Linked DNA regions of Ovis aries. The protein of the gene in region 1 purifies or fractionates together with the protein of each later gene. This does not show direct contact. Links are inferred from orthologs where the notes say so. Each region holds a gene or a part of one and is shown in the gene's direction. Other genes may lie near its edges.

The links. Proteins that work in one complex are often made in the same cells at the same time.
Region 2: the proteins of AURKB (region 1) and SEC16A purify together in Homo sapiens (affinity purification with mass spectrometry; 3 studies listed by BioGRID and IntAct, with this or other methods). This does not show direct contact. The link is inferred for Ovis aries from reciprocal best matches to the Homo sapiens genes AURKB and SEC16A.
Region 3: the proteins of AURKB (region 1) and HSP90AB1 purify together in Homo sapiens (affinity purification with mass spectrometry; 6 studies listed by BioGRID and IntAct, counting the BioPlex papers as one, with this or other methods). This does not show direct contact. The link is inferred for Ovis aries from reciprocal best matches to the Homo sapiens genes AURKB and HSP90AB1.
Region 4: the proteins of AURKB (region 1) and G3BP2 purify together in Homo sapiens (affinity purification with mass spectrometry; 3 studies listed by BioGRID and IntAct, with this or other methods). This does not show direct contact. The link is inferred for Ovis aries from reciprocal best matches to the Homo sapiens genes AURKB and G3BP2.

Annotation. Positions count from the first base shown.
Region 1 is NC_056064.1:27,652,757-27,661,065, reverse strand, and holds AURKB (aurora kinase B), read left to right. Parts: upstream 1-3,671; 5' UTR 3,672-3,763; intron 3,764-4,010; 5' UTR 4,011-4,034; coding exon 4,035-4,082; exon of another isoform or gene 4,083-5,309; coding exon 5,310-5,412; exon of another isoform or gene 5,413-5,522; coding exon 5,523-5,577; exon of another isoform or gene 5,578-5,788; coding exon 5,789-5,980; exon of another isoform or gene 5,981-6,274; coding exon 6,275-6,413; coding exon of another isoform or gene 6,414-6,423; exon of another isoform or gene 6,424-6,521; coding exon 6,522-6,670; exon of another isoform or gene 6,671-7,342; coding exon 7,343-7,517; exon of another isoform or gene 7,518-7,675; coding exon 7,676-7,849; 3' UTR 7,850-7,983; downstream 7,984-8,309. UniProt on the Homo sapiens protein: Serine/threonine-protein kinase component of the chromosomal passenger complex (CPC), a complex that acts as a key regulator of mitosis.
Region 2 is NC_056056.1:3,026,042-3,033,828, forward strand, and holds part of SEC16A (protein transport protein Sec16A), read left to right. Parts: intron 1-2,338; 5' UTR 2,339-2,407; coding exon 2,408-5,956; intron 5,957-7,544; coding exon 7,545-7,675; intron 7,676-7,787. UniProt on the Homo sapiens protein: Acts as a molecular scaffold that plays a key role in the organization of the endoplasmic reticulum exit sites (ERES), also known as transitional endoplasmic reticulum (tER).
Region 3 is NC_056073.1:17,735,996-17,743,465, forward strand, and holds the end of HSP90AB1 (heat shock protein HSP 90-beta), read left to right. Parts: intron 1-76; coding exon 77-223; intron 224-535; coding exon 536-742; intron 743-836; coding exon 837-996; intron 997-1,143; coding exon 1,144-1,277; intron 1,278-1,394; coding exon 1,395-1,703; intron 1,704-2,054; coding exon 2,055-2,220; intron 2,221-2,431; coding exon 2,432-2,622; intron 2,623-2,726; coding exon 2,727-2,874; intron 2,875-2,998; coding exon 2,999-3,267; intron 3,268-3,519; coding exon 3,520-3,853; intron 3,854-3,944; coding exon 3,945-4,054; 3' UTR 4,055-4,318; downstream 4,319-7,470. Other genes in the region: SLC35B2 (adenosine 3'-phospho 5'-phosphosulfate transporter 1), read right to left, coding at 6,700-7,470. UniProt on the Homo sapiens protein: Molecular chaperone that promotes the maturation, structural maintenance and proper regulation of specific target proteins involved for instance in cell cycle control and signal transduction. Undergoes a functional cycle linked to its ATPase activity.
Region 4 is NC_056059.1:91,226,615-91,234,401, reverse strand, and holds the end of G3BP2 (ras GTPase-activating protein-binding protein 2), read left to right. Parts: intron 1-257; coding exon 258-386; intron 387-1,678; coding exon 1,679-1,797; intron 1,798-2,126; coding exon 2,127-2,399; 3' UTR 2,400-5,094; downstream 5,095-7,787.

The DNA of each region.
Region 1 (8,309 bases):
ACAATTGCACTCATCTCACACGCTAGTAGAGTAATGCTCAAAATTCTCCAAGCCAGGCTCAGCAATACGTGAACTGTGAACTTTCAGATGTTCAAGCTGGTTTTAGAAAAGGCAGAGGAACCAGAGATCAAATTGCCAACATCCGCTGGATCATCAAAAAAGCAAGAGGGTTCCAGAAAAACATGTATTTCTGCTTTATTGGCTACGCCAAAGCCTTTGACTGTGTGGATCACAACCAACTGTGGAAAATTCTGAAAGAGATGGGAGTACCAGACCACCTGACCTGCCTCTTAAGAACCGTGTATGCAGGTCAGGAAGCAACAGTTAGAACTGGACATGGACCAACAGACTGGTTCCAATTAGGAAAAGGAGTACGTCAAGTCTGTATATTGTCACCCTGCTTATTTAACTTCAATGCAGAGTACATCATGAGAAATGCTGGGCTGGAAGAAGCACAAGCTGGAATCAAGATTGCTGGGAGAATTATCAATAATGTCAGATACGCAGATGACACCACCCTTATGGCAGAAAGTGAAGAGGAACTCAAAAGCCTCTTGATGAAAGTGAAAGAGGAGAGTGAAAAAGTTGGCTTAAAGCTCAACATTCAGAAAACGAAGATCATGGCAGCTGGTCCCATCACTTCATGGGAAATAGATGGGAAACAGTGGAAACAGTGTCAGACTTTATTTTGGGGGGCTCCAAAATCACTGCAGATGGTGATTGCAGCCATGACATTAAAAGACGCTTACTCCTTGGAAGGAAAGTTATGACCAACCTAGATAGCATATTGAAAAGCAGAGACATTACTTTGCCAACAAAGGTCCATCTAGTCAAGGTTATGGTTTTTCCAGTGGTCGTGTATGGATGTGAGAGTTGGACAGTGAAGAAAGCTGAGCGCTGAAGAATTGATGCTTTTGAACTGTGGTGTTGGAGAAGACTCCTGAGACTCCCTTGGACTGCAAGGAGATCCAACCAATCCATTCTAAAGGAGATCAGTCTTGGGTATTCATTGGAAGGACTGATGCTGAAGCTGAAACTCCCAATACTTTGGCCACCTCATGCGAAGAGTTGACTCATTGGAAAAGACCCTGATGCTGGGAGGAACTGGGGGCAGGAGGAGAAGGGGACGACAGAGGATGAGATGGCTGGATGGCATCACCAACTCGATGGACATGAGTTTGGGTGAACTCTGGGAATTGGTGATGGACAGGGAGGCCTGGCGTGCTGCAATGCATGGGGTCGCAAAGAGTCGGACACGACTGAGCGACTGAACTGAACTGAACTGCACTGGAGGCAGATTGGTGGTACTCACTGTGGTCCACAGACTGGTGCCACTTCGTGAAATATTACTTTCAGGTTCAGGATGAGTAGAGAATTTGAGAGTTAGGTATTTTTAAAACTGTTACAGCATTTGTCAGAGTACTTTTATAAATACTGTGCTATACTGTGCGTAGTCGATCAGTCGTATCCAACTCTTTGCGACCCCATGGACTGTAGCCTGCAGAGCTCTTCTGTCTATGGGGGATTCTGCAGGCAAGAATACTGAAGTGGATTGCCATTATAAATACTAGTTACAACCAAAAAATATGTCTTCTTGTAATTTTTATATTTTTTATACTTTTTCAAGGAATTTATTTTTAATGTAAGTTGTAAAAGCATCAATTTGTGATAGATTGCAAATAATTAAAAATGGTTCTTCCCTACTGATCATTTGCGAAGCACTGGGGTAAATAATGGAGATTCTGTTCACTAACTTGAACAGGCAGCTGATGGTTGCCTAGCTGCCAGAGCAGATAGGTTTTGTTTTGCTTCGTGTTTTATGAATAACACAAATCTCAATTTTGTGGTGGCCCATCAACTATTTCTGAAAGGCCAGATGTCTTCTGATGTAATGTGCAGGGGGAATTTAAAGACTCCAATGGACAGAGAAACTGTATGGGGATCCATCAGGGATATCCCACCCATGCACAAGGTCCCTGACAGGCTCTAGAAAAGTCTTTCACTAGGTTATGAGGGATAAAGTATACTGCAAGTGATAGGATTTTTCTAAAGCTCTTTACTAGCTAGTTACTCTATATGTGGCACTAAAAAACTCTAAGGCACTGAAATTGAAATGGGATCTCTGATTCTGGGAAGTGGTGTTGGGCTGACCCTGAGTGAAAACAGCATCACATTTCCAGAAGCAAAATGCTTTTTTCACTGGTGGCCATATTCATCAAATCTCTAGAGACACATCATGCACAGATTTACAACTTTAAAAAAATCATGGGCTCCCAACAATAAACCTGTAAACAACTGTGGCACCCTGCAGTTTCTACCGCTGCAGGTAGCTGTGGCTACCTGAGGCTACCACTGTGGCCCCTAGCTGCTCTAACTGTAGCGGCTGGAAGACAAAGTTACTTTGTCAGCTGCCTTTGCAGTAGTCATGTGATAGGGAAGGCCCACACAGCAGGAGACGGGAGTTGGACTCCCTGTCCCGGGGATCCCCTGCAGCAGGACATGGCAACCCACTCCAGTATTCTTTCCTGGGAAATCCCATGAACAGAGGAGCCTGTGGGCTATGGCCCATCGGGTCACCAAGAGTTGGGCCCCAACGTGTGGCTTCTGGGGATCTTAGTTTCCCCACCAGGGTTTAACCCTGGCCCACAGCAGTGAGAGCATCGAGTCCTAACCACTGGACCACCAAGGAATTCCTATATGAGGACTTTTAGAAGCCTTCTGCTTTTTCTGTTAAAAGAAACAGAGACAGTTGGCATTCACCTTGAAGTCGGAAGGGGAATGTTAAGAGAATCACAGAAGAGGTCAATGCAGACCTCTTACATTGTTCAGTTCCTGAGCCAGCTACCTACTTTCTGATTTATTGTTGTGGAAGAGAAAATAGATGTCTGTTGTGTGTGCCATTGGTAACTGAGTTTCCTGTTACTTGCAGCCAAAAGCGTTGTGAACTGATGTAGAAACTCATTTGGATTTATTTAATTTACATTGGGTTGAATCATGTGAAATTAGTGTTTTCTGTGGGTCAGATGATTGTCAGTATCGCATCATTCAACCCAAATAACTGTTAACTCTCTAGATCTGTAGATGCGTATCGGTTAGTATGCTTATGACAGCAAATACCAAAACTCGTAACTTAGTGAATTAGGGAAGGAGATGGATTGGCTCATGGAAGAAAACCTAGTTGCTTTTTTTTTCTCTCTCTCTCTTTTCGCTCAGTCATGTCCGACTCTTTGCGACCCCATGGACTGTAGCCTGCCAGGCTCCTCTGTCCATGGGATTTCCCAGAAAAGAATACTGGAGTGGGTTGCCGTGTCCTACTCCAGGGGATCGCCCCGACAGGGAGTCGAGCTCGCGTCTCCTGCTTTGGCAGGAGGTTTCTTCATCGCTGAGCTACCACAGAAGTCCAGTTCATACATATACACAAGAATAAATTCCAGGTTATATTGATGACTTAAATTTTAAAAACAAAACACCAGTAAGACTATTCGAGGCTTGAGGAAAACTTTTCCCAAGTTAAAACCCTGGTTGCCCCGGCTCTCATTCCGCCTTTTCCATTGGGCCTCTGGAGCTACGTCATGGGATAATTAGCCAATGAGAATTGGGCATGGGCGGCAGGCTCAGCCAATGGGACCCGGGCGGGAGATTTGAAAGGACCTCGGCGGGGGTGAGGAGGCGCGGCCGGACGGATTCAGTTGTTGCCAGCGGTCAAGGCACCACGGGTTTCTTTCGGGATTCTTGCTCCGGGAGAGGCCAGGTGATCCGGCAGGTTGGTTGCTCTAGGGTGGAGAAAGGGTCCTGGAAGGGAGTGAGGCCGGTAGCAGGGTGGGGGCGGAGAGGCGAGTGCGGGGATGCGCTCTGATGAAGCCAGCTTTTGGACTTGCTCCCTTTCACCAGCAACTCGCCCCCCCCCCCACCCCAGGCAAACACTTCCGGCTAGATCGATCCGACCCCTCACTCTCTCTCCTTTTTTTTTGTTTTTGCTTCTCACGGCTCTATTTCTCTTCTCTGCCCAGTTCCTTCCCCCTTTCCCTCTACGGATGGCCCAGAAGGAGAACGCCTACCCCTGGCCCTATGGCCGGCAGACGGTAAGGGCTTTCTCACTTCCCCTCTCCCCATCAGCATGGCGACTTCCTGCTTGCAGATTCGAGATCCTGCAGAGGGCGATCCTCTTAGCACTTTTCTTCTGGCTTTGCACCAGCGCATGGGCCCCAGTCAGGTCATTTGTAGCCTCATCCTATCTGGTGCTGCCAGTTTGAATTTGACCAGCCTGTGAGGACCTCTGCAGAGCTGAGCCTACTTGTCACATACAAATGGCGTCTGGGACTGAGCAGGCAGGGTCTAGCCTATTAGGCCATGAATCTCAACTGTTGTCCTGAAAAAATAGGCTAGGCAGGAAATAGATATAAGCTATTTAGATGAGTTTATAACTTTAAAAGGTCCAAGAGAAGTCTTACTTAAGAATTTGGATTTTAATGACCGGTGTGACATATGCGTCTAAAAAGCTTTATTTTCCAGTTGTCCTAACACCTTTCATTGAAGAATCTACCCTCTGATTTGAAATGCTAGCGTTATTGTATATATTAAATTCCCATATATATGTGGATCTATTTCTGGACTCCATTTTGTTCAACTTGCTTATTTGTAAATCCTAAATTCGCTGTTTGTGAACAAGTCTGTAGGAGCACTGAGGCTCTCTCTTGGTTAAAGAAGAAAGAAGGGGCCCTACATGAGCTTTGTTCTCTGTTAGTGGGGCTTGAGTATCCTGGAGGGTCCCTCTATCCCCTTGTCCACCAGCTCCCTCCCCGGTGAAGCTCTGAATGGGGAGGCTGAATGAGATGACACTGTCATGTCTACACCAGTCACTCCCAGAAGAAAGTGGTGTGTTACTCAGAAGTTGACAGTGACAGTGCTCCAGGACAATTAGAATAGCCTTCACTTTCCCTAAAGCCTGTTGTTGCAAAGCGGTAAATACTGAGATTTGCTGAACACTCAAGGCCCCAAGGATCTTATCTGAGCCTTAACAGACCAAGCTTAGGGAACTGTGAGAATACCTCTGTTCTGAAGCTCCTTGAATTGTGGGTGTTCATTACCCCAGCCTCTACTGCCCTTTGGGGTAGGGGGCTAGGTAAATGAGTGGTGTTATGGACAAGACTGAGTAGCAAAATTGTGGCCTCATTGTTCCTCTTTGAACTGGGGATGGGGTGGGGTAGGTGGGTGGCTTTATAGCAAGCCCTGAAATGCTGCTTGTAGCGCATTCCAACCCGGTCACTGGGATAAAGGCACCCTCAGAGCTCCCCTCTGGTCCTTCTCAGGCTCAGCCTGGCCTGAACACCCTGCCCCAGAGAGTTCTCCGGAAGGAGGCTGTCATCCCATCGGCGCTTGTCCTCATGAGTCGCTCCAATGCCCAGCCCACAGGTAAACTAGCACAAAGGGAGGGGACTGACCTGAGGGAACTAGGGTCTGCAGAGGGTGGGTGGGGATGAAAATGTCAAAGGATGGCCTCAACTTCCCTGTTCTTTCCTTAGCTGCCCCTGGCCAGAAGGTGGTGGAGAACAGCAGTGGGACCCTCAACATCCCAAAGTAAGCTCCCCAAGCTTTGAGGTAGCAAGGGACGGGGTGGAATAAAGGCAGGAGGAGGAGGGATGCAGGTGAGAAAGCCTGATCCATCCTCAGCTCCCCTGGAAGAGAAGCAGGATTGCAGGCAGGAGGGGCAGAGGTCCAGAAAGAAGGCAAACACCTCAGAGGACCAACTAACCACTGCTCAGCTGCTCCACCACTGCTTCCCAAACAGGCGTTCCTTCACAATCGATGACTTTGAGATTGGGCGTCCTCTGGGCAAAGGCAAGTTTGGAAATGTGTACTTGGCTCGGGAGAAGAAAAGCCATTTCATCGTGGCACTCAAAGTCCTCTTCAAGTCTCAGATCGAGAAGGAGGGTGTGGAGCACCAGCTGCGTAGAGAGATCGAAATCCAAGCCCATCTCCAGTACGCTCAACGTCCCCTGAGCCAGAGCCCCTGCCGCCCCAACCCCACTCCTCCTCCAACCCCACCACATCTAGACTGTCTTCTCTGTAGCTGTGGCCACGCAGCCCCAATGAGCTCTCAATCCCAGCCAGAGCCTTGAATCCAGAAAATCACCTCCGGTCCCCAATTAGGACTGCCAACTGGCTTCCCCTACCTGGCCCAGACCTGACCCAGTTTGCCCCAATGCGACCTGTCATCTTTCCCATTTCCTTAGGCCAGAATGCAGCCTGATGCCTCCTCTGTCTCCTCTCCCAGACATCCCAACATCTTGCGTCTCTACAACTATTTCTATGACCGGCGAAGGATCTACTTGATTCTGGAGTATGCCCCCCAGGGGGAGCTCTACAAGGAGCTGCAGAAGAGCCGAACTTTTGATGAGCAGCGAACAGCCACGGTCGGGGCGGGTGGGCACCTGGGGCACTGGCAGGGGCCTGGAGGCTGGGGGATGCCATTTGCCGCCTGAGGTCAGTCCTCTTCTGACTGTCTGCCATTGGCCCCCCAGATCATGGAGGAGCTGGCAGATGCTCTGACGTACTGCCATGCAAAGAAGGTGATTCACAGAGACATCAAGCCAGAGAATCTGCTCTTGGGGCTCCGGGGTGAGCTGAAGATTGCTGACTTTGGCTGGTCGGTGCATGCCCCCTCCCTGAGGTATGGTGGGCCAGAAGGCCAGCCCTGGGTATGAAGCCATTCAAAATAAAACCACTTCAGATCTTGTTACCCAGAGACATTTTGGGTTGTTCTCATGTAAATATATAGACACAGCAATATCTTTACAAAAATAGGAGACTTTGGGAGTTCCCTGCTGGTCCAGTGGTTAGGACTCCAGCTTTCACTGCAGGGGGCCCAGGTTCAATCCCTGGTCGAGGGAACTAAGATCCTGCAAACCGTGCAGCGTGGCCAAAAACAAAAATAGGAGTCTCAGTTTTGTCACTCAGATTTCTCACTTGAAACAATGGGACCTTCTTGCCATATCACTGAGAATACTCCCACATCATTTTTAGTGGCTTCATAGTATTGCACAGTAGAAATGTAATGTGATTAAGCAACATGTGATTGATGAACATCTGAAATTCTTCCTATAATTCTAAGGTGAACGTTGCCCTCATATCTGATTTATTTTAAGGTACGGCCCTCAGTGTGGAAATGCAGAGTCAGTGTGCTAGCCCCACTCCTACCCCAAAGACCCCATCAGAGCCTGGTTGGAAGACCCCTGGCACATCCTGTGGTCGGTCTGGGCTCCCTGTCAGGCTGCAGGGAAAGGAGGGAAAGTCTGGATCTGAGATCCCTGCCCACTCCCCCTCTTCCCCCGCCCCACCCCAGGAGGAAGACAATGTGCGGCACTCTGGACTACCTGCCCCCAGAGATGATTGAGGGGCGCACGCACAATGAGAAGGTGGACCTGTGGTGCATCGGCGTGCTTTGCTACGAGCTGCTGGTGGGAAACCCGCCCTTCGAGAGTGCTTCCCACAATGAGACGTACCGGCGCATTGTCAAGGTGGGAGGCTGGCCCCCGGGGTCTGGCTGGAGTTTGTGCCAGCTCAGGGGCTGGGGCAGGGAGTGGGCACACTGTTGCTGTTGATGTTAAACCCTGCTAATAGAGTGGGAAGTGGAGGCAAAAGCAGCTAGGATGAAGCCTGTCTCTCCTTCTTGCAGGTGGACCTAAAGTTCCCTCCTTCTGTGCCCATGGGAGCCCAGGACCTCATCTCCAAGCTGCTCAAGCATAACCCCTCAGAACGCCTGCCGCTGGCCCAGGTCTCTGCCCACCCTTGGGTCCGAGCCCACTCTCGCAGGGTGCTGCCTCCCTCTGCCCCTCAGTCTGTCCCCTGAAATGTCCCTGTCCTTTTCTCAGTTGTGTCTGTGTCTGTATATGTGTAGCCAGGAGGAGGGGGGTCCCAAGTCTGTTTCTGCATCTGTCTTCTACCTCCTCTTTATTTAATAAAGGCTGAAGCTTTTTGTACTGATGAGTGTAGATGTTTACATGTGGAGACTGCTGTGAAGGAAGTCATCACCCATGGGGAGGAGGCGAGGGAGTTGCCCATGCTGGGCAGTGGGGTGGGCACTGCATCATCACCCCTGGGAACACCCCTCAGCACTGAGAGCAACCTCTCAGCTCTAACCTCATCTGGTCAGCTCCCAACCATCCTACTTCCACATCTTTCCTTTCCCCTGCTCTGGCTCCCAGGCCTGGGGATGCTGGGGACCTGGCTCTACTCTGCTATGCCTGCACATCAGCCATCACCAACCATCTCCACCCACCTTCTATTACTCCCTCTTAGTTGACCTCTAA
Region 2 (7,787 bases), on another chromosome or scaffold:
CTGATGGATATGTTGTGTGGCAGTCGCCTCAAGGGCAGAGCCTGGACTCCCCAGTACTTCTTGGAGCTCCGGTTGGTTTTCATGCTCGTGCTTGAGGCAGCTGCCCTAGCAGGAGAGATGTGTGCTTTCATTATCTCAGTTCAGTAGCCAGAAATTTATATTGAAACAGGTTGTGCTTATTTCAGGTAGATCCAAGGCAGCTTAATTGAAGAGCTACAGTTATGAGTAATATATCTTTAGGAAGATCAGCTGGTTTCTTTGAAGCAGTCTGCCATTTTTAAAGTTAGATGACCTGAGGCTACAGAATGACTTACTGGACAGAATGAAAGTCCCTATAGTTGAGATAAACGATATGTGCTTGCATTGTTTTTCTGCTGATGAATAGAGAAAAAGATGAAAAGAATAATGTTCAAGGCAGATCATTGTTCCAAATGAAACAGTTTATTGTTGAAAAGCTCTTAGTGGTCAGGGGGAGAAGGGGAAGCTACTTTGGAGGGAAGTGATAGTGTCTGCTTATGAAGTGATCCTTAGGAATTGAGAAAATAATGCTAAGAAAGTTTCTGCAAGGAAAATAAATGAGTATAAATGTTTTGTGAAATTTAGATTCAGGTAAGATTTCGCTCGTAAACAGCTGTAGGGATTAGGGCCTCCAGAATCCACTGTGAATAGAATTTCATAAGACTAAACCCAGAAGGAACTTTGAAACCATCATTTCAGTTCTCTTGCTTTATAGATGAAGGAATCGGGTCACTCACGGAGCAGCGGTGCGGCTGGGCCATTCAGCTGGCGCCCAGTCCTTTTCTCACGGTGACACTTAAGGAATTAATCCTGTGGGCCTATGCTCTGTATTTTATTTTTTAATATATGCTGTTTAGTGTGATTGAGGGTTTCCTGTTGAAGTCTTCCAAGGAGGAGGCCATGTCTTTGGAAGAGGCCTTGGGTGCCTCCCTTTCACATGTAAGAGGAAGAGGCTCTGCTCTTCTCCCCTGGGTCCATGTAAAGCTGAGCAGTAAGTGTTCTTAGTTTTCAAATGACAGCTTAGAACCAAAGGAAGTCGCTGATGCAGTTCTTCGCATATTTAATTCCATGAAATCTGAGTGAGTGTCAAAGTGCTTGTCTATTGGAAAGGACTCCCTGTTGGCCCGGGAGAAGGCCCTGTCGGAGCAGTAGTTGCAGCGGGCAGCTTTCGTTAGGAACTGACTGGATTTAATGTGCATTCGTTCACTTTTCCTTTTGCCAGAATTTCTTCTGTCCAAGGACGGAAACGTGGTGCTTCATGCAGATGACGCTGCAGAGCCCTTCTGTCACTTCTCCCTTTGGTATCGGCTCTTCTCTGTGATGGGCTCCTCTTAATCCATTTGTGAGGGTGTCGCTGGGGAGGAGGGCTGACACACAGAAGAGGAATTTGTAAAGAGACGGTACTTGGATTTTTGTCTTAAAAGTGCAGATTAACTGTTCAAGATTATACTTAGTATGTTTTATTAAAAAACAGACAACCACAAAAGACGCTGTAAAGAGGATTTCTGCTCCTTTGTTTTCCGCCAAGGGCTTGAGGGCCGTCTGCTTATTACTGACAAGTTTTGAATGAACTTAGTTGCTCAGTTTTAGCACCGATTTATGGTTACTTGGGATTTTCATTCCAGGCATAGTTGTTACAGCTCCAGTCATCAGACGCAGCTTGTTTTGCTGATGGTGTGCAACCCGTCACCGTGTGGAAAAGGAGACATTTTACAGGCTGGGATAAAAGGTGTTTTAGGCACATAGAATTCAGATAGTTGTTATTTTGCAGCTTACCTGACTCTGTGCTTTATAACGCTTTTCAGTTAAAATGGAGAAGCAGGCTTTTAACTTTGGTTTTCCTTTCCAAATATAAAATTGACCTGTGTGAAAAGTACGATATGTGATCTTAAGAGAGGAGGCGGCTCTTTCCGGACTTAGTGATAATTTGTCGGAAAATGTGGAGGCACTGTGTACCTGGTGCCCCGTGTTGGGTTCTGCTTGGTCCCTGCCAGCTTGCTGAGGGCATTGTGGAGGCAGTGGGCATTCCACATGGGTATGTAGCTCGGTGACATAACTGAATTTCACAGAAGGGCAGTGACTTGTCTGAAGTCACTTGGCCGGCCCCAGCACGGCCAGCCTTGGCATCCAGGCCGGTGTTGTTGCTCCCAGGATAGCAGTCCTCTCAGGGGTGGGCGAGGGGTGGGTGTATCCCTCAGGACTTACAAGATGCAAAACTGTTTTCCCATTTTTTTCATCTTTCTCAATTTTCCTGATTGTAGCCAGGACTATGAATAAATGGATTTTATGCTAACTTTTTTTTCCTCTTTTTCTTTTTCAGTTCAAATTAAGGAAAGCCTCCCTCCTGCTTCTTTCTGCAAGCAGCATCTCATTGTGCAAGAGCTCAGTCATGCAGCCGCCGCCCCAGGCCGTCCCTTCGGGCGTGGTCCGGCCGCCTCCGTCGGGGAGTCCTCAGACCATGTTCTGGTCTAACAGCCCTTATAGGAGACAGGCCGGCAGTCACACTCCGATGGCCCCGATAACCTGCCCACTGCAGCCAGTGACAGATCCTTTTGCTTTCAGTCGACAGGCTCTCCAGAGTACATCGCTGGGCGGTTCGTCTAAAAGCAGCCCGCCCATTTTGCAAGGCCCACCCTCGCCATCATCCCTGCAGCGTGCTGGTCTGCCCGTGCCTCACACAAACACTGGGGACAGCTCCCAAGGGCCCTGCGAACCTCTGCCAGGGCCTCCGGTGCAGCCCAGGGCAGATGCCAGCCCATTTCCCGGGGCGCCGATGCCCTCGGCCTCACATGGGCCCGAGACAAACAGGAGTGCCAAGGCTCCCGGCCCAGAGCCTGAGCTCCCGAACCCGCCGTACCCTCCACAGTACATTCCAGCAGTGGGGTCCAGTGGCTCTCGCGGGGGCCTTCCGCAGGGGCACGTGCCTCGGCCTGACAGACCCCTGAGCCGGCCGAGCCCCCCCGACAGTGCCGCACCCCCAGCAGCACTCCCGCTCCCCCCTCAGCCCTGCCAGCAAGTGCCTGGGCAGTGGGGGCCAGGGCAGGGAGGCCCACGGCCCCCGGGTCAGCAGTACTGGCCTGGCCCAGAGGGACCCCCGCAGATCCCAGGGCCCCACGCCTCCAGCGTCACCCACTTTCCCCCTCTGTCCAGCCTGCATCAGCATCCTGGCCATGAGCAGCTCGGCCCCCCGGCATCCTTACCAGGACCCTCAGCCAGTGACGGAAGAAACGAGGCCGTCTGCCTGCCCAGTGGAGACCACTCAGCAAATAGCTTTGATCCAGAGAGCGCGTTCAGGCAGAATTCCAGAGTTGGAAATGCTCGGGCAAACCAGGAGCTCAGGTCGAGTCCTGGAGTGAACAGAGAGCAGCTGTCGGGCCTGGCTGCCGTTAGCCCGCTCGCTCAGGGAAACGGCCTGGAAAGCCACTCGCACTGCTCGCCGGGGGCCGGGGGTGCCTGGACCCCACTGGAGGCGGGCTCGGGCGCACTCGCCATGTTTTTCAAAGGAGGAGAGACAGAGAATGAAGAGAACCTCTCGTTGGAAACAGCGGGCTCTGCCGGGCAGGCCGACGTGGACGGTTTCTGCCTCGGCCAGCTTCCCACACGTGTGGGCGCAGGAGGCGCTCACCAGGCCTTTCCCAGAGGCTCCAGCGGCGAGCCCACGCAGCTGGGGGGGGAGCCACAGCCTTACTTCCCTCAGTCTGCAGGTAGCCCTCACGAGAAAGCAGCCTCTAAGGTGGCCACCGTGGATGTGTGGGCAGACACGGCCCGTGCAGGGGCTCAGTACGAGAATGTTGAGAACCTGGAGTTCGTTCAGAACCAGGAAGTTCTGCCGAGCGAGCCCCTCAGCATGGATCCTTCCTCCCCAGGCGATCTGCTCAGGTGCGGGCCCCTTCCTGGCCCAGCTGGCCCCAGGCTCGGTGCGGTGGGCCCTGTGGGAGGCGGGGGCCTGAATCTCGAGGCCCTGGATATGACAGCGCGCCCTGCACGGTCTGACAGCGTGTCGTCCGGTTACAGCGGCAAGAGCCACCGGGGCCTTCCAGGTGCCAGGCTCCGCGACTCGGGTACCTTCATTCAACAGGAAGTGGGAAAACCTGAGGATGAGTCTCCAGGGAGGTTTTTTAAGCAGATCGATTCTTCTCCTGTCGGCGGCGAGACAGACGAGACCAGCAGCCAGAACTACCTTGGCAGCCTGTCCCAGCCCTCGACCCCAAGCCCCCCAAAACCTACGGGGGTGTTTCAGACGAGTGCAAACAGTTCTTTTGAACCCGTGAAATCGCACTTGGTTGGAGTAAAGCCCGTTGAGGCAGATCGCGCCAATGTGGTGGGGGAGGTGAGGGGGCCCAGTGCCCGCCAGCAGCACAGGGCCGCCGCTGCCACGCCTGATGCCGCCCCTGGCAACCTGGAGCAGCCCCCCGACAACATGGAGACCCTCTTCCCGCCACAGCGCTGTGTGCCACCTCTCGCCACCCCCCTGGAGGCCGGACGTGGGCTTCTGCAGGCCACGGGGCCGCCCTTGGAAACGGTGCTGCCAACACCTGAGAAGAGGCCCTCGACCAGGGTGCAGGGGCCTGTGAAGTGTGAGAGCCCCGCAACGACCCTGTGGGCACAGAACGAGCTCCCCGATTTTGGGGGCAATGTCCTTCTGGCCCCAGCGGCTCCCGCGCTTCACGTGCCAGTGAAACCTCAGCCGTCTGAGGTGATCCAGCCCCCAGACGCGGGGGCGGCACGGCAGGTGGGCTCTGGCGGTCAGAGTGGGGATGGCCTTGGCGCTTCTGAGAACCTGGAGAACCCTCCGCAGCTTGGCGAAGAGGAGGCCCTCCCGCCGCAGGCTGGCCCCAGCTATGCCAGCCTGTTGTCCTCCCCACCCGCTGAGTCTTTGCAGAATCAGCCCATCTTGATCGCCCAGCCCGATCAAAGCTATAGGCTGGCTCAGCCTGTCAACGTTTCTCAGTCCTTACCAAATCCTGACGAGAAGGCTCCATCCTGGAGAGACTCTTCGGCGGGAGATAAGCCCATAGTCAGCGGCCGGGCTGCCGGGGGTGATCCTGGAGAGAATGTACCTTTGTCTGGGATGCCAGCTAGCTCTCTCATCTGCTCGCCTCTGCCTAACCATCTGGCTCAGAGTCCTTTTCCACAAGTTTCTGGTACCTATGACATGGTTTCTAATCAAGCTGCTAATTTGCTGGTTCAACCGCACTCTCATCCAAATACCTTGCTTCCAGAAGGTCAGAAGGTCCACAACGCAGAGAGTGTGCCTCCTGAGGAGGTGCCCAGTCCTGCGGGGTGTGCAGGCCTGGTGTTAGTGCCGCCTGCAAGTAGCACCTCCCTGCCTGACAACAGCAAGCCAGGCCTCTGTGGCAGGCGGGACGGAGCTTCGGGAGCCCTGGACTTCATGTTTGGTAGGACTTTGGAAAATCCTGCAGGAGTGTACAGCCTGGCCCACGTGGATGGCCCAGCCTCTGTTCAGCAGCCCGCTGCCAGTCGTCGGCCGCCTGGGCCTGGGGCGAACACCTCGGACCGTTTCTATCAGCAGGTGATGAAAGAGGCTCATGACCAGCCTGGTGCAGAGAGAGCCCAGCAGGAGCTGGCACTGCCACTGCCTGCTCCACAAGGGCCCAGAGCAGTGCTTCCGGAGCCATCAAACCCGGGGAGTCCCCCGGTGCAGGCACAGCCTGCAGACCCGGCCCGGCCCGCAAGCCCAGCTCCTGCTGACGCGGGTCAGCAGCTGCTGCCCCGGCCGCCTCGGTCCTCCAGCGCCTCTGTTGTGTCCACCAGCTCGGGCCAGGCGGCCCCACGGCCCGACCAGCAGTGGCTGCAGCCCCCGCCTCCCGACCTGGCGTCCTACTTCTACTACAGGCCCCTGTATGACGGCTACCAGCCCCCGTACCCATACTCCGCATACCTGCCGGACCCTGGCCCAGCCCCCCACTATTACCAGGTAGGGCCACGCTCTTGCGCGGCTGAGCGCTCTGACCAGAGACCTCTTTCTCGTGTCCTGCCCCGGGGCAGGGTTCTGCGGTCAGTCCTGAGGGGACCCATGGTCCCCCTGCTGGCACACGCCTCTTCATGAGCTTCCTGAGAAGGGTGTTCCCCATCGCAGCTCCTTCTGCGGACCACAGCCCTTCTCCTGGAGGGCCGTGCTGCACACGGGCGTGTTTTAGTTGGGGAGAAGCGCTGCTTCATTTTGGTGTAGCACAGCATGCTCCAGCTTACGTGAGAAACGGCCCTCACTTCCTGTCCCGCCCACTGGCTTGCCACAGAGCCTGAGTTCTGGGTGGCACATTTTGGGAAACTGGAATAGCTTCTTGAAGTTTCTTTCGGGTTTTAACATCAAAAACTTACATGAGAAGCAACAGGAAAACTTTAGTCTTTTAAAGCCCTCCTTTAGGGTAAAATTGTTTAGGGTAAGAAATTCGGTTTGGGATGTAGCGTGGGTGAAACAGTTGAGAGCAGTGGCGCTGTGCACACTTCAGGACCTGGCCGTGGCAGAGGGGGCCGCTGTGCTGCGCAGGGGATCCTTTCTCACCTCTCTTCACGGTGAGCCAGGCCCACGAGTGCTGTTAAGTTTCCGTTTAATCCTGCTTTAGGGTGATCCACGTGGACACACCTTTGGTGGTCTGCTTGTTACCATCTCATGTCCTGGCCCAGCATTGCCACAGTCTGCAGAGGCAGGATTGTGGACCTGGAGTTTGGAGTCCCTTGCCTGACGTGGGTGTGGACCCCACACTGGAGGCCCCACAGTCAGAAGCAGCTGAGGGAGCAGAGCTGTGGTGGGCTGGGGGCCACCTGGGGGTGGGGCAGCCTGAGGGCATTCAAGAATCTCTGTATGCATGGGAATGAGTTACACGCCTAACCCCGAGACCTGGGAATCTGAGAGCCAGGAGGAGCCCCAGAGACTTATTTCCATGGAAGGACCACCCTCTGCAGGAGCCCCGGGTGGGCCTGCAGAGTGTGGAGGGGCCCGAGTCCCAGCCAGCTCCTGGCACTGCTGTGTGTGTGTCGGGGGGGGGCGGCCAGGCCCCAGCGGGGGTCAAGGGTAAGTCCACGCTGCGTGCTGTCTCATTCTCTAGCAGCTCTTGACAGAGAATCAGGCCCTGAGACAGGAAGGACAGGTCTGGCTCGTGCCCGGGTCGCCTGTCTCTGCGTCAGGTTCCAGCATGGCCGTAGGGCCACAGGGCTGCTGCATCTGGAAGGGGCTGAAAGCCTCCTGAGGCTAGAGCGTAGTCCTCTTTTTGGGGTTGTCTGTGCCTGCGGGACCCAATCCCAGGGGACCCAGATTCTTTTGCTTGCTTGAATTGGTGCCTGAAATGGGACCCCAGGTTGTGGGCTCTCAACACCTACTCAGGTGAGACCTCAGGAAGCAGAAGAGAGCCCTTGAGGCTCACCTGGGCATGGCCCGCTGCCGTACAGCCGTCTCCTGAGCCAGGCCAGGCTGTCTGCAGAGCCTCACCGGGGCCGTGAGGGCCGTGCGAGGTGCTTGCGCAGGTGGCTCTTGGCATCTAGTGACCGTGTCCTTCTTCCAACAGGACATCTATGGCCTCTACGACCCCAGGTACAGGCCCTGTGACAGCGCTGCCTACATGGATCCCTGCCGCTACCCCGAGCCCGAGCGGCCCAGCTCCCGGGCCAGTCACTGCTCCGACCGCCCGGCCGCCAGGTGATTCACGCTTGTGTTGCCGGCTGTGGTGGTAGCTTAGTGATTTGGAAGAGAGCACGTTTTTGGAGAATCATACAAGCCTGTTGAATGTGGGTTTGAGTTGCGTGGGTGC
Region 3 (7,470 bases), on another chromosome or scaffold:
TTGAATAGAGTCTCCTTAAGTGTATTGTGGCTGAGGGTGAACTTGAGGAGTCTTAAATTCTTGCTTTTTATTTTAGATGCCTGAGGAAGTGCACCATGGAGAGGAGGAGGTGGAGACATTTGCCTTCCAGGCAGAAATTGCCCAACTCATGTCTCTTATTATCAACACCTTCTATTCCAACAAGGAAATTTTTCTTCGGGAGTTGATCAGTAATGCTTCTGATGTGAGTGCCCTGAATGTCTTCATTGACGTTGGTTTTTTGTTTCTCAAGTACTCCAAGAGAGGGAAAGTGGGGGTGGTTTGGCATTTTGTGGTGTTAACTGATAAAGGGGGGATATAAACTTAACTGCTGTTCCAAAAAGTATTGCCTTGCTCTCTGTGGATAGATGGGATACTGTAACCCACTGGATGTCGTTCTCAACCTACAAGCTAAAGGAGTAATCAGAATTAGCGTATTTGGGGAGTTTAAAAAACTTTTTGGGTGAGATGGGTTTTGAGGAAGCAGAATTGTAAAACTGCAATTTTGTACTTTCAGGCCTTGGACAAGATTCGCTATGAAAGCCTGACAGACCCTTCTAAATTGGACAGTGGTAAAGAGCTGAAAATTGACATCATCCCGAATCCCCAGGAGCGTACTCTGACTCTGGTAGACACGGGCATTGGCATGACCAAAGCTGATCTTGTAAATAATTTGGGAACCATTGCCAAGTCTGGCACTAAAGCATTTATGGAGGCTCTTCAGGTACGTGGTTGGTTAGGCACACTCCATTTATATTATTGGTGTTTGCTTTGCCATTTCTTTGAAACTTGAGTTTGACTTTTAAACTTTTTGGCAGGCTGGTGCAGACATCTCCATGATTGGGCAGTTTGGTGTGGGCTTCTACTCTGCCTACCTAGTGGCAGAGAAAGTGGTGGTGATCACAAAGCATAATGATGATGAACAGTATGCTTGGGAGTCTTCTGCCGGGGGTTCCTTCACTGTCCGGGCTGACCATGGTAAGTTGGCTTTCCTGTTAAGGTGTCTGGATTAGCATTCTGGGGAAACACTAATGAAGATCTTGAGTATTGTATGTGTAAAGCAGTTATAGTTCTGCGTTTGTTTATTTAGTTTCTTATATTCTGTTCTGATTAATTTTTTTCTAGGTGAGCCTATTGGCCGTGGTACCAAAGTGATTCTCCACCTGAAGGAAGACCAGACAGAATACTTGGAAGAGAGGCGGGTCAAAGAAGTGGTGAAGAAGCACTCTCAGTTCATAGGCTATCCCATCACACTTTATGTGAGTATGGACTGGTAACTCAAGTGCAGGTAACTGCTGCTTGAGAGAATTGCATGGACTTTGGGGTTTTTTTTTTGCTTTTTTGTACTCTGAAACTGTCATCTTTGATACTTCTAGCTGGAGAAAGAACGTGAGAAGGAAATCAGTGATGATGAGGCTGAAGAAGAGAAAGGTGAGAAAGAAGAGGAAGATAAAGATGATGAAGAGAAGCCTAAGATTGAAGATGTGGGCTCAGACGAGGAGGATGATAGTGGCAAGGATAAGAAAAAGAAGACAAAGAAGATAAAGGAGAAGTACATTGATCAGGAAGAACTGAACAAAACCAAGCCCATTTGGACCAGGAACCCTGATGACATCACCCAGGAGGAATATGGAGAGTTCTACAAGAGTCTTACCAATGACTGGGAAGATCACTTGGCAGTGAAGGTAAGAAGTCTTGCTTGTTGGCTCAGTAGGAGGAGCTGATATGGACAAATGGAACTTACCCAACTGGTTGGTAGCTGGGAACTGTGAATGCTATGAGTTGATTTGCTAATGGACCCTTCCAGGGTGGAGAAGTGACATCTTCCCCTGTGACCTGTCTCTGGTGGCTTTACCCACCTGGAGTCTTTGACCCAAAGATGATATAGTGCTTGCAGTTGGATTCATTTAGGGCATTAGGGCTTAAATTTTCTCTACAGGGATAGGAAGTTTTTGTTTCAAATAATTGGACATTTTGGTATTGGGACCAAAAGCCACTCTTGAGTACACAGTCAGCTTATCTTGGATTTCTTTCAGCACTTCTCTGTAGAAGGTCAGCTGGAATTCAGAGCACTGCTGTTCATCCCCCGTCGGGCTCCTTTTGACCTCTTCGAGAACAAAAAGAAAAAGAACAATATCAAACTGTATGTCCGCCGTGTGTTCATCATGGACAGCTGTGATGAGTTGATTCCGGAATATCTCAGTGAGTATCTTTTTGCCCTAATGTAGTTCGTTTCTGCGTTCTCGGGGGCTGGAGTCTTTATCTTAGATTAAGGATCCTCTGCAACCTAACAAGTGAAAGTTTGGTGAGAAAATCAGTCTTTCTGTTGAATCCAGATGACTTTATATACCTTTTATCTTTATCCCCGCCACTCCTGTATCTTTAAAACCCAGCTTCCATATTTTGATTTCAGACTTCATCCGTGGGGTGGTTGACTCTGAAGACCTTCCCCTGAACATCTCCCGAGAAATGCTCCAGCAGAGCAAAATCTTGAAGGTTATTCGTAAGAACATTGTTAAGAAGTGCCTTGAGCTCTTCTCTGAGCTAGCAGAAGACAAGGAGAACTATAAGAAATTCTATGAGGCATTCTCTAAAAACCTGAAGGTAAGCAGCAAGTACTTGCTTAATAATTAGAATGGATTTTTTTTCATTCACTGAGAGGATAAGTTATTTCCTAACAAAATTATTTTTTTCCCCTACCCATAAAGCTTGGAATCCATGAGGACTCCACTAACCGGCGACGCCTTTCTGAGCTGCTGCGCTATCACACGTCCCAGTCTGGAGATGAGATGACTTCTCTCTCAGAATATGTGTCTCGCATGAAGGAGACCCAGAAGTCCATCTATTACATCACTGGTACGTTGGAACCTAGGTCTGATAAAAGCCTTTTTTTAGAGGTGTGGGGCAGACACTCAAGGGTCCTGGGGAACTGGCAGGATGAGGCATTTTGGCCCTTGAGTCACACTGAGTAATCCTACAGGTGAGAGCAAAGAGCAGGTTGCCAACTCTGCATTTGTGGAGCGCGTGCGGAAGCGGGGCTTTGAGGTGGTGTACATGACGGAGCCCATCGACGAGTACTGTGTACAGCAGCTCAAGGAGTTTGATGGGAAGAGTCTGGTCTCTGTGACCAAGGAGGGCCTGGAGCTGCCTGAGGATGAGGAGGAGAAGAAGAAGATGGAGGAGAGCAAGGCAAAGTTTGAGAACCTCTGCAAACTCATGAAGGAGATCTTGGATAAGAAGGTGGAGAAGGTAAGCCGTTGTGAAGCAAAGTTATCTTGTTAGCGATGCCTTCAGAGTGGTTTCCTCCCATCTTTGGCTGCTACAGTTAGTGGTTTAGGCAGCTTAATTTGCTTAGTGCCACCCTACTTCTTGTTCTCTTAAGGTTGGTATTTCTATAGAACTTACCAAAGATGACACTTTTCCCCAAAGAGTAGAGATGAGCATCTTTGCCTTGAGGAGGTAATTCGATTCAGTACAATGAGCTTTTCTGCCTACCCTCAGGTGACGATCTCCAACAGGCTCGTGTCCTCACCCTGCTGCATTGTGACCAGCACCTACGGCTGGACCGCCAACATGGAGCGCATCATGAAAGCCCAGGCACTGCGGGACAACTCGACCATGGGCTACATGATGGCCAAAAAGCACCTGGAGATCAACCCTGACCACCCCATCGTGGAGACCCTGCGGCAGAAGGCAGAGGCGGACAAGAACGACAAGGCCGTCAAGGACCTGGTGGTGCTACTGTTCGAAACTGCACTGCTCTCCTCTGGCTTCTCGCTTGAGGATCCCCAGACCCACTCCAACCGTATCTACCGCATGATAAAGCTTGGCTTGGGTGAGTACCTTTGTCCTCTCAAGTAGCAAGGTGTGTCAGGCGCTTTTGAAGGCTTTTGGGGGCCTACCTGATGTGGTTTCTTTCCTCTTAGGCATTGATGAAGATGAGGTGACGGCAGAGGAGCCCAGTGCTGCTGTTCCTGATGAGATTCCCCCCCTTGAGGGTGACGAGGACGCCTCTCGCATGGAAGAAGTAGATTAGGAGTTTATACCTGCAGACTGCTCCCTCTGTATAGCGTCCCCATGGCTCCTGCAGCAGCAGCCGCCCTTGTGGCCCTGGCCCATGTGGTTCCCTCTGCTGACGTCTAGTGGTTTTATTTCTGTCCTTCTAAGGCAGGATACATGGGCCTCACGCCCGATTCCTCTCCACGTTTGACATGGGGTTTGAATGTTGTGTGTTGTGTTTTGTTTATTTTGTTCTGAAATTAAAGTATTGAAAATAAAGAAGATGCAGGTTTTTTACACAGTTCTGCTCTCGTAGATTTAAGTATATACAGTGCTGCCTTTGGAGTTATCCTGTATGTATCCCTTTACAAATCTTAGCCTGCCATCATTCTGAGTAGATAACATGGTACATAAAGTGAAAGTCAGTTCAGCCATGTCTGCTCAGTTTTGTCTTGAGTCTTAAGACACCTGTGGACTATACAGTCCATGGAATTCTCAAGGCCAGAATATTGGAGTGGGTAGCCATCCCCTTCTCCAGGGATCTTCCCAACCCAATCCAGGTCTCCTGCATTGCATGCAGATTCTTTTTATCAGCTGAGCCACCAGGGAAGCCCAATTGTGATACATAGGAAGATATTAAAACCATCACGGGTAAGTTTAGAAGCCATAGAAACAAAATGAGAGAGAGTCAAAGAGGGAGAAAATAATTGCACATGAGGCAACAGACGTAAGCTGAATTTCCAAAATAGCTCGTTCAACTCAATCCAATCAAAAAACAGGCAAAGAACTAAATAGACATTTCTCTTAAAACATAGGTGGCCAGTAGATAAAAGAGGTTCAAGATGCTAATTTGAGAAATGAAAAAATGACGTACTACCACACATGGGTCCAAATGGCCATCATTGTAAAGCTGCAGTACCATGCTGGAGAGGGTGCAGAGAAAAGGGAACCTTCCCATGCTGTGGGTGGGGCTGGAGTCTTGCTCCAAAGCTGGTGCAGCCACAGTAGAGAACGAGGTTCCTCAAAACTAAAAAAGGCAATCCCGCTCCTGGACATAACATCAGAGAAAACAAAACCTACACCCCTGTGTTCACAGCAGCACTACTGACAGTCGAGAGTGGACACGTGGTCACTGATAAGGAAGATGGACACATACACAGTGAGATGCTCAGCCATTAAAGAAGTGATGCCTTTTGCAGCCACATGGATGCCACTGGAGGTTATACTAACAGGGAAGACATACCACTTGATAACCACCTATGTGGGATGTCTGTGGAAAATATGAATCTGAATCAAATCATGGGACAACAGACTGGTGGTTGAGAGGGTGATGGAGTGGGGCATTAGGGTCAGCTGGCCCAAGTTTTCCTCTGTAGAAAAAAGCCCTACAGAGAACTATATTCAGTATCCCATTGTAAACCATAATGGAAAAAAATACCGTAAAACAACTGCTGCTGCACAGCAGAAATTAACATTGTGAATTAGCTACAATTTCTCAAAAATAACACTGAAGGTAAGTGGTATTGTGATAAAGAACCCACCTGCCAATGTAGCAGATGGTAAGAAACGTGAATCCAATCCCCGGGTCGGGAAGATCCCCTGTAGAAGGGAATGGCCACCCACTCCAGTATTGTTGCTTGGAGAATTACATGGACAGAGGAACCTGGCAGGCTAACGGTCCATAGGGTCACAAAGAACACAACTGAAGCAACTTAGCACATAACACTTTCAGAATTCCCTTTCCTAAGCTTAGCATATACAGACGATTTTCCACTCAAAATTTGAGTTTACTATGGTAGAACAAAAGCATACATTGAGTACTTTTCGAGTTTTGACCTTTTCCTGGGCTGACAGTAGGAGGTACCTTCACTGGTGTTGCTGGGCACTGAGCTGCAGTTTCCAGTCAGCCACCAGGCCACAAACAAGGACCAAGAAATGGCACATGTTAGAAACCACTTTTTTTTTCCACTTTCAGTATTTAAACAAGTTAAACATTTGACACTTGTAAAACAAATTGTAGGCAGTTCTGAGCTAATGGAAGTTTTAGGTATCTGAAGTTGAATGTTTGTACTTAGTCAACCAGAACACAGGACCAAACCCACTGCAGCAATTTAATTTAATAAAATAAAATCATAAGAGCAAAAGTTGTATTTCCAAAGTACCAAAACCTGCAACTGGTTCATAGGGCAGAGCCTAGGGATCCAGGAGCAGGGGGGCTGGTGGTGCTGGGCAGGATTCCCAAGCCCTCGCCCAGCACAGCACCATCGTTCACTTTCTCTCCTGGGAAAGCAGCATCGGGAGCCTACAACACGTGTGCTTCTCTCACCAGAGTAAGAAATGCATGTCTCGGAGTCTGAAAGGGTAGTAGTCAAGGTAGGGGACAAGCACAGGTGAGGCACTAGCAGAGCCTCCAGGGCAAGACTTCGGAGAACCGGAGAAGCAGGGGCTTCGGAAGGCGCCCCCACCTTCTCAGTCCCCCACTGTTCTCTCCACCCTGGGGAGAATCCTGCCCACTGGAGGCTGGGTGACTTAAGGCAACGGGGAAGGCCGCCTCCTGGGCTCCCTGCCCCCTGCCGCAGCGCTGGTCAAGAAACCTGCATTTTGCCCTGGAGCCAGCTGCCTCTGAGGAGTGACAGGAGAGAAACTGGTACAGCAAGCGGGTCCTAGTCATTCCTCGGGCCCTCAAACTTTCTGCACAGATGACTCGACTGGCACAGCCTTCTTTCCCCGCTGCTTTAGACGGCCCCGGGCGTAGACCCGGAGCAGGAGGGCAGCAAAGACCACAGCCACTCCCAGGCCCCCCACCACAGTGACAGTGTGGCCGTAGAGGAGGCAGGAAAGGAGGATGGCGAAGGCCTGGCGGAGGGTCATGATGATGGTGAAGATGGCAGCCCCAAACTGCCCGATGGTGTAGAAGATGAAGAGCTGGCCACACGCAGAGCAGATGGACAGCAGCAGGGTGTGTGCCGCAAACTCGCTGTGTCGTCCCATGAAGCGGATGCCCTCCAGGAGGGCCCCCTGCTCCAGCAGGGAGCCCACCGTGAAGAGGCAGGAGAAGAGGTTGACCCCAAACATCATCTGCACTGACGACATCTTATAGGCGAACAGGGCGTCCTGCCAGTTGGAGGTGAAGCTGTCGAAGGCAATGTAGCCTGCCAACAGGATGAGGCCTGAGAGCGTGGTGGCCGGGGAGCTGTGGGGCTCCGGTCCGCTGGACAGCAGGAACATGCTGACCCCGATGGAGATGAGGCCAGCTGTCAGATATTCCCAGTGCTCATAGCTGCGCCGAGACACCAATTTTCCCATCAGCATAACGGGGATGACCTTGGAGGCCTTGGCCAGCACCTGGGTGGGGAAGCTGACGAACTTGAGAGCTTCGTATTGGCACCAGCTGCTGAGCACATTGGACAGGCTGGCAAAGGAGTACCGGTACATGGGTGCCCCATGTCGGGG
Region 4 (7,787 bases), on another chromosome or scaffold:
TTCACATGATCAGACCAGTAGATCTAGAAGAAGGGACTTTAGCAATCTAGTCAGTACCTTCCGGTAACACTTCGGTGTCATGTTGTTTTCTAACTGACCTACTAATAATAGGCAGTTCCACAACTCAAAGGAGCTTATTATCTTATTAAACTAAAACAAGAATATCAAGTGTTGGGGTTTTTAACTTTCATTGCTTTGAACTAATTTTTATTATATGACATTGTAAACTTTAATATCTGCTCTGTTCCTCTTCTCAGGCAGAGGAGATATTGAACAGAATGAATCTGAGAACCGTAGAATAATTCGCTATCCAGATAGTCATCAACTCTTTGTTGGTAACTTGCCACATGATATTGATGAAAATGAACTAAAAGAGTTCTTCATGAGTAAGTGGTTTAGTTTGCTTTATGGTAAAATTAAGCAGGAGGTGAAGAGAATTTTTTTTCTAATCATAAGACTTATTCTTCTTGACGTTTATTTCAGAGAAAGCATTCTGTTGTTAATAATCAGGATTTTCACATAATATTATATTGCAGATAATTGACGGTAATGCCAGATATTTCTGACAACTATTTTGATTTGCTGTAGTTTCTAGAGTTAAAAAAAAATTTTTTTTCTAGACTTTTCTTCCCCTTTGTTAGTTACCGATTATTTTTTTAAACTTTTTAGCTTGTATTGGGGTGTAGCCAATTAACAGTGTTATAGTTTCAGGTGAACAATGAAGGAACTCAGCCATACATATACATGTATCCATTCTCTCTCAAGCTCCTTTCCCATCCAGGCTGCCACATGACATTGAGCAGAGTTGCATGTAGCTCTACAGTAGGTCCTTACTGGTTATCCATTTTAAATATAGCAGTGTGTACATGTTGATCCCAAGCTCCCTTAACTATCCCTTCCCTTTTATGTGTGCGCCCCGCCCCGCCCCCCCCGCCTCCTGAAACGATAAGTTCGTTCTCTGTGAGTCTTTTCTGTTTCATAAGTAAGTTCATTTGTGTTGTTTCTTTTTAGATTCCATGTATCATGTCATATGATATTTCTCCTTCTCAGTCTGACTTACCTCACTCTGTATGGCAATCTCTAGGTCCACCCATATTCCTGCAGATGGAATTATTTCATTCTTTTTAATGGCTTAGTAGTATTCTATTGTATATGTGTTCTACACTGAGGAGAGTTCTTTTTTCATAATACGATTTTTAAAAAAACATTTACGTCTGTACATAGTGTGTATCTCTAGGTACCGGTCACCTTTAATTGATCAGGAGTATAAGGTTATATCAGATGTTTCCCAGTGAGTGTACTTCGTGTTGATTGACCTGGTTCTGTAGAGGTTAGAAGAAAGAGCTGGGTGAATCAGTCTTAAATTTGGAAATGGGATTCATCCGGCAAATACAAATCTAATATAGAAAATAAAATTGTCTCTCTAAAATGTGTAGGTAACTTTTCCTTTTGAATGGACTGACAAAGATGCAGGGCAACAGAATAGGCTAGTTGTTGGCATGTTAAATGAATAACCTGTAAGAGTGAAAGTACCTTAATGCACTGGCTATAGCAGCTTGCAAGTTGTGTTTTGAAATGGATCAGGAAGAATGAGGTATTTTATTCTGAACAGTTAAAGTTACAAAATATTCTGTTAAAGTATTTTATTTTATCCTTTGTGTAATGTATATTTTCACAGGTTTTGGAAATGTTGTGGAACTTCGCATCAATACCAAGGGTGTTGGCGGAAAGCTTCCAAATTTTGGTTTTGTGGTTTTTGATGACTCTGAACCAGTTCAGAGAATCTTAATTGCAAAAGTAAGTGACTTAAATGGCATAATTGAATACCTTATTATTCCTGTTGTATTTAATGTGAATAAGTCTTTTTTAAATGGTACAGTTAAAAATAGTTTACTATGAACTAGTATTTATGCAAAGAATAAAGATATGTTAGTAATTTTAAAATTTGAGGTATGGGTCATTTTAAAATAAATGTGTTTGATTATTTACTCTGGTAAAGAAGGTTGGATATCGAGAATAGATTGCATATTGAGAATTTCGAAAGTTTTTTTTATGTTTTTCACTATTTCTTACACCACTGTTACCGTCTAACCTGCCCATGTACATTTTTTTCTTCCTTTTTAAAGCCAATTATGTTTCGAGGGGAAGTACGTTTAAATGTGGAAGAGAAAAAGACAAGAGCTGCCAGAGAGCGAGAAACTCGAGGTGGTGGTGATGACCGCCGGGATATTAGGCGCAGTGATCGAGGTCCTGGTGGTCCCCGGGGAATAGTGGGCGGTGGAATGATGCGCGACCGGGACGGAAGAGGACCCCCTCCGAGAGGTGGCATGGCACAGAAACTTGGCTCTGGGAGAGGAGCCGGGCAGATGGAAGGCCGCTTCACAGGACAGCGTCGCTGAGGCTCCACTGTTGGCAGAGTCTTGGCAGTGGTACATTATTCATCGTGTTTGCATTCTTGTTAATTTTTTTTTTGGCTTTGGAATGTGACACAGCCTTTTTGATCATTTCTTTGATGTGAAAAGCATCTTTCGGTTATCAGTTAAATTGAGGTGGACATTATTTCCCCAATTTTACAACAGGATTCGCATTGTTAATTTATAAATCTAGACTTGGAGAATTAAGGACTGAGAAATGACCATATCTTAAACTGTCTACAACAAAGTGAACTTAAAAGGACATGCCCAACTGAATTCAGGTCCTTTGAGTCAAAAAAATCCTCTGCTGCACATTTTGTTTAAGTGTTACTGTTTCTGCCTATTATTGTTGGAAACACAAATAGTGCAATTTGTGCAATTGGAGAATCTTGCCTTTTTTTCTTGGCTCCCCCCAAAAATACAAACCAACAGAAACTTGTTATGCACTCATCAGAATGCACTAATGGGTACTCTGAACTCATTAACCTTGACATCTGCAACAGGAGGCAAGAGGGGAAAAAAATCTTTCATCTTTTTTTCCAGTAGAGCATAGTTTGTGAAATGATGAGGGCATTTTTACCTGCTTGCTGTGACCAGCGTGTGTACACATAAACCTTAACAAGACTACAAGTATATTCCAGAAGGAAGTCATTTAGTTATGAACGAAATAACAAAGATCAGAACTTCAAATGCTATGGTCTTGAATGTTAGACCAGATTTAGTAGCTCCATATCTAAGGTTTTTTTCTACCTGCCCCTCTTCAGTACAGGGATGGCTGGCTGCTCAACACACTCCTCCTCCCCCTTTTCCTTTCTTTAAGCTGTGTACAGTGAAAATTGTCTTTACTGTATTTTTGTTCTCTGGTAATGTAATACGCATGATGGTGCCTTCTATTAATACATCATTCCAGTCTTGCTGGTAATTTTGTACAGTATAGTGTATAAATTGCTGTGCTGCAAAGCCAAACAGCTGCAAAATGTTGAGAAATCATTGAAGTATATAAAAATTGCAGTATCTTTAAAATCAGTAAAATTGACTAGTATATTATTTACCTTGTTCTTCAGTTAACAACTTTGTGTTCTCTGTGGGAGGGAGTCTTGTGTGTTTGGGAGGCAGAGGGAAGGAGGAAGTCAGTTATTTGAGTCAAAGTCTCTTGTTGACTTTTCTCTTAGCCTGAAGGTGAACATTGAAGCGTATCACTTGAGAGGTGCTTGGAAAAGTCAGTCAACTTGATGTACATTGTTAGTGACCTTTTAAAAGCAGTCAGATTCCATAAATGGCACGTAAACCTAAAGTAAGGATACTGCAATTTTCAGAGAAAAAAGAACAGCAGCTCTTAAGTGTTTGCATTTTCTATTTGAGGGGGCAGGGAACTGTCATTCATTTTGCACAATTCTTGACCTGATGTCAGCACCCGAGTGGCTCTGAATTTAAGTCTGGGATGACATCTTTTATTTTTACATGAATCTCTAAACAATTCTGTGAGCAAAGTTTGTAGCTGCTGGATTATTGTCTGTCTTTATAGCAAGTTCCGGTAAACCACAAATATGACAAAGGATATCCGATTTTATGCTTGGAGTATTTGGTACCTACCAGTTTCTGATGTTTCAGGCCAGGAGTGGGGTAAATAAGTGTGACCACTTAAAGCTGCTTGTAGCATGGAAGACTTCTCCATTCTGTCTTAGTAAAAACAAACAAAAAATGCACTTGACATAATAGCAAACTGTTTCTTAATTATGAAACTGTTTGCTATTTAGTAAACTAGCAAATGATGCACATATTTTGTTTTCCATGTACTGGGCAATGTAAGTAAAATTAAGCCTGTCCCCTTTTTCCCCACCTTGAATGAGGTCTTCCATGTTCGAGGAAAAGTCTTGCACTATTGGATATATTTTGGGGACACAGATTTCTCAGTTTCCATTTTGGGGGGCTTAAGGATTTTTTTTCCTGTTTGAAATACATTTACGCTTTCTAATGTATAGTACTTGAAGTTCTTACAAGAAAATTACTTTTGAGTTTTGAAGCTTTTATTCAAACTGCTTTTAAATAAGTGGTTTCTTGTCAGTGTTTTTTTTTTTTTTATATATAGCATATTGTTCCTCTTTCATTTCTTTCTCCTCCTTCATTTGATATATATATATGTAAAATTTTCGATCCAAGATATTGCCCTACCGCCCATGAAAACTGTTCTGGCACCAAAAGTAATGATAAATGTTAAGTGTAATAGAAAATTAAAGCAAAGAGCCATTCAGCTTCAGTCTTTACATACCATGAATAAAACTTTAAAACATCACATGGAGAAGTTTACATGGTGATTGTTCACCTGCAGTACTGTGGACTTTTAACATTTTGTCCCCTTTTCAGTGAACCAGAGTAAAAATATTCATCTACCGTAACTGTTATTTGCTGGGTTTTTTTATTGTTGTTGTTGTTTGTTTTTATTTTTTGGATGGTAATATTCTATTCTATCCTTATGACACTATTGCAACCAAATTGGCTTTACCATCTTGGCTTTAGTAGGTATAGAAGACAATGGATTACCATCTTTATTGCTGTAATGTGTTAAGCATTATATGCTAGTAGTATCTAGTTTAATTGTTTCAGGTGGAAAGTATTCTTTGAGTTTCCATTTTGAATGTGTTTGGACTAAACAAACAATAAACTACTGATGTCTGCAGCATTTTATTTATGTCCCTAATTTAATCTTTAGGTTTGTGTTCCGAAATATTTTCTCCCAGTTGCATTTCACACAGCCTCAGGAAATAAGGAATTGTTCTAACATCAACTGATGATTATTTGTGAAATTTGATATGTAAAATTATTTAAGACTTGGAACATAATTACTTGAACTGAGATAGATGCCTGGTTCAGTTAGATAATTGGTAAACAAGATAGAGAATGTTAGACCAGAATAATAAGTAGTGAGGAAGGTGAGAAGCAGACTACTAAACGTTTATTTATTCGTTTTTAATAATCTTGGGTTTTCTAAAGGATTGCTACTTCATCTCAGAAGGAAAAAAGGATGGGAAGATCGAGGTGATCTGAAGTTATGGACATGACCAGTTCAGCAGTTGGAACAAACTTGTGAAGCTCTAAAAGAATATTAAAAGGGAAAAGAATCATTCACTCATAGTTAACAAATATATTCTAAAATCACAAGGCATATGTAATTTTAGAACTTGAGACTTTTACTTTGTTAATAGGGATAGTATAAGTGAATTTTTCCTGATATATTTATAACACTGTATGAAGATTCCATAAATCAATCTTTACTAGTTTGTACTGGAGAAAAGCTAGACTGTTATTCAAGTACTTTTAGGAAGTAAGACTTAAGATTTTTTAAGTGTCTATTAAGCTCACTTTCAATTTTAATTATAATGTATAATATTTAATTTTATGGCTGTGGAAAAACATTATTCAGAAGGGATAAAATGTATGTGCCATACTATATTGAAAAAAATTTGAAGAAGTAAAGTATCATTTGGTCCAGGAAATATGGAACAAAATATTTGAAAGTTGAACCACACATGATGCTTCATTTCAGTTGTGTTATATAATATAGTCTTTGTATCAAGTAAATGAAAATGTAATGAATAGCTAGCTGTTCATATCTTTTCTTCAGGATGACTTGCTCATCATGATTTATATTTCAACTTCAGGTGAAGACTTGATTTTTTTTTTTCCTTTCCAGTCTGTTTTCATAAGACTTTCTAATTATTGATCATTTTAATGCCAGAATTCTAAAATATCTTAAATGACTGGATAAATGAATTAACGTTTCATTATGTTCTGAAAGAGATTTCCCTTCATAAAAGATATGAGTAGGTTCATGGATCATAAAAAATGTGAGTAGTTTTGTTTAAAGCTATTTGCATAGTTAAGTCAAAATTCCTTCAGTTTTCAAGGTTTTTTGACAATTGAAGTCTTCCAATCTGTTTATGTAGTATGTAACCACACCTTATACTTAAGAATTAATAGGAAATGAAATTGGTTTTTAGCATTACCGAATACTGGGCAAAATACTATAAGTGAGAGTTTAGAATTAAACATTCACAGTAAGATTACTATTCTTTTCCTTGATCTCCTAAGAATTTTGATAAAGCTGGCTGCCTATTTGGCATGCTTTCAGTTTTATGACAACTCATCACCCCATAACCACCACCACCTGCCCCCTACGCACATACCGATCCTTTCTGTCCTCAGCCTCTTTCCCCACAAGTTTTCTCTGAATGGTTTCATTTAGGCTAGGAATTACCTTAGCTTCAGTGTATTGTCCATTCAGTAAATTTCATGTAGTGTGATGATAAGAGGTGGGGAGTGTGAGGATTCAGTGAGTTAATAGGCGAAGCTCTTGAAACAGTGTATGGGGTCTTCAGTAAGTGTTACCTGTTACTTTTTTTGTAACAGTTGAATTTCTACTGTCTTAAGGATAACTATGTTTCAAACATTTCTTTTTTTAATCCTATTTTGCCTTGTCCTCTTAAACTCCTGGTGGTGGTTTAGTTTTTAAGTCATGTCTGACTCTTGTGACCTATGGACTGTAGCCTGCCAGGCTCCTCTGTCCGTGGGATTCTCCAGGCAAGAATACTGGAGTGGGTTGGCGACTCCTTCTCCAGGGGATCTTCCCGACCAGGGCTCCTGCTTGTAGGAAGATTCTTTACCAGCTTCAAAGAGGCAAGCCCTTTGAAGTCCTAGGTAATTCAAAATTCAGAAGTCCAAAGCAATGTGTTTTCTAACTGCCATGCTTCTCTAAGTGATGTGCATACTTAATTCTGTGATAGTGAACATCTCTATTAACCTACAAATGTTTGAAGTCTCATCTGTTCTGCTTAATATTTTCTCTTTGTCTCCCTTCTGTCCATTTTTCAGGATGCAGGAAGATTTGTTCATGCTATTCTGATTAACTTTCACTGGCTTATTTAAGTCATTAACGATTGAGCTTCTGAATGCCAGGTGTGTTTTAGGCACTGTCAATAAATGATGAAATAAAACAAGGTTGCCTGTTCTCAGGTTAAAAGGTCTGAAACAGTGGTTGCATATTTAAGGTAGCTAAGGAGACTTCCCTCACAGTCCAGTGGTTAAGATTCCATGCTTCCACCTCCAGGGGAGCTCAGGTTCCATCTTTTTTTTTTTTTTTATAAGGAGAAACTAGGAAGCTGACTGTGAGGAGGTGGTCTTTATGACAAAAACAATAGAAAGTTGAAGGTTTATTTGGCAGGATGGTAATTCTATTTTGAAATATCTGGCTACAGAGTAAACAAAGTGAAGGAGTTAATGAGTAAGTTGGGTGAAAGGATGCTGTATTTCAGTAAGCCATAATAGTAGAGTGATTGTACTAGCTTGGACTAGAGTGATGTTAGAAATCTAGACAAT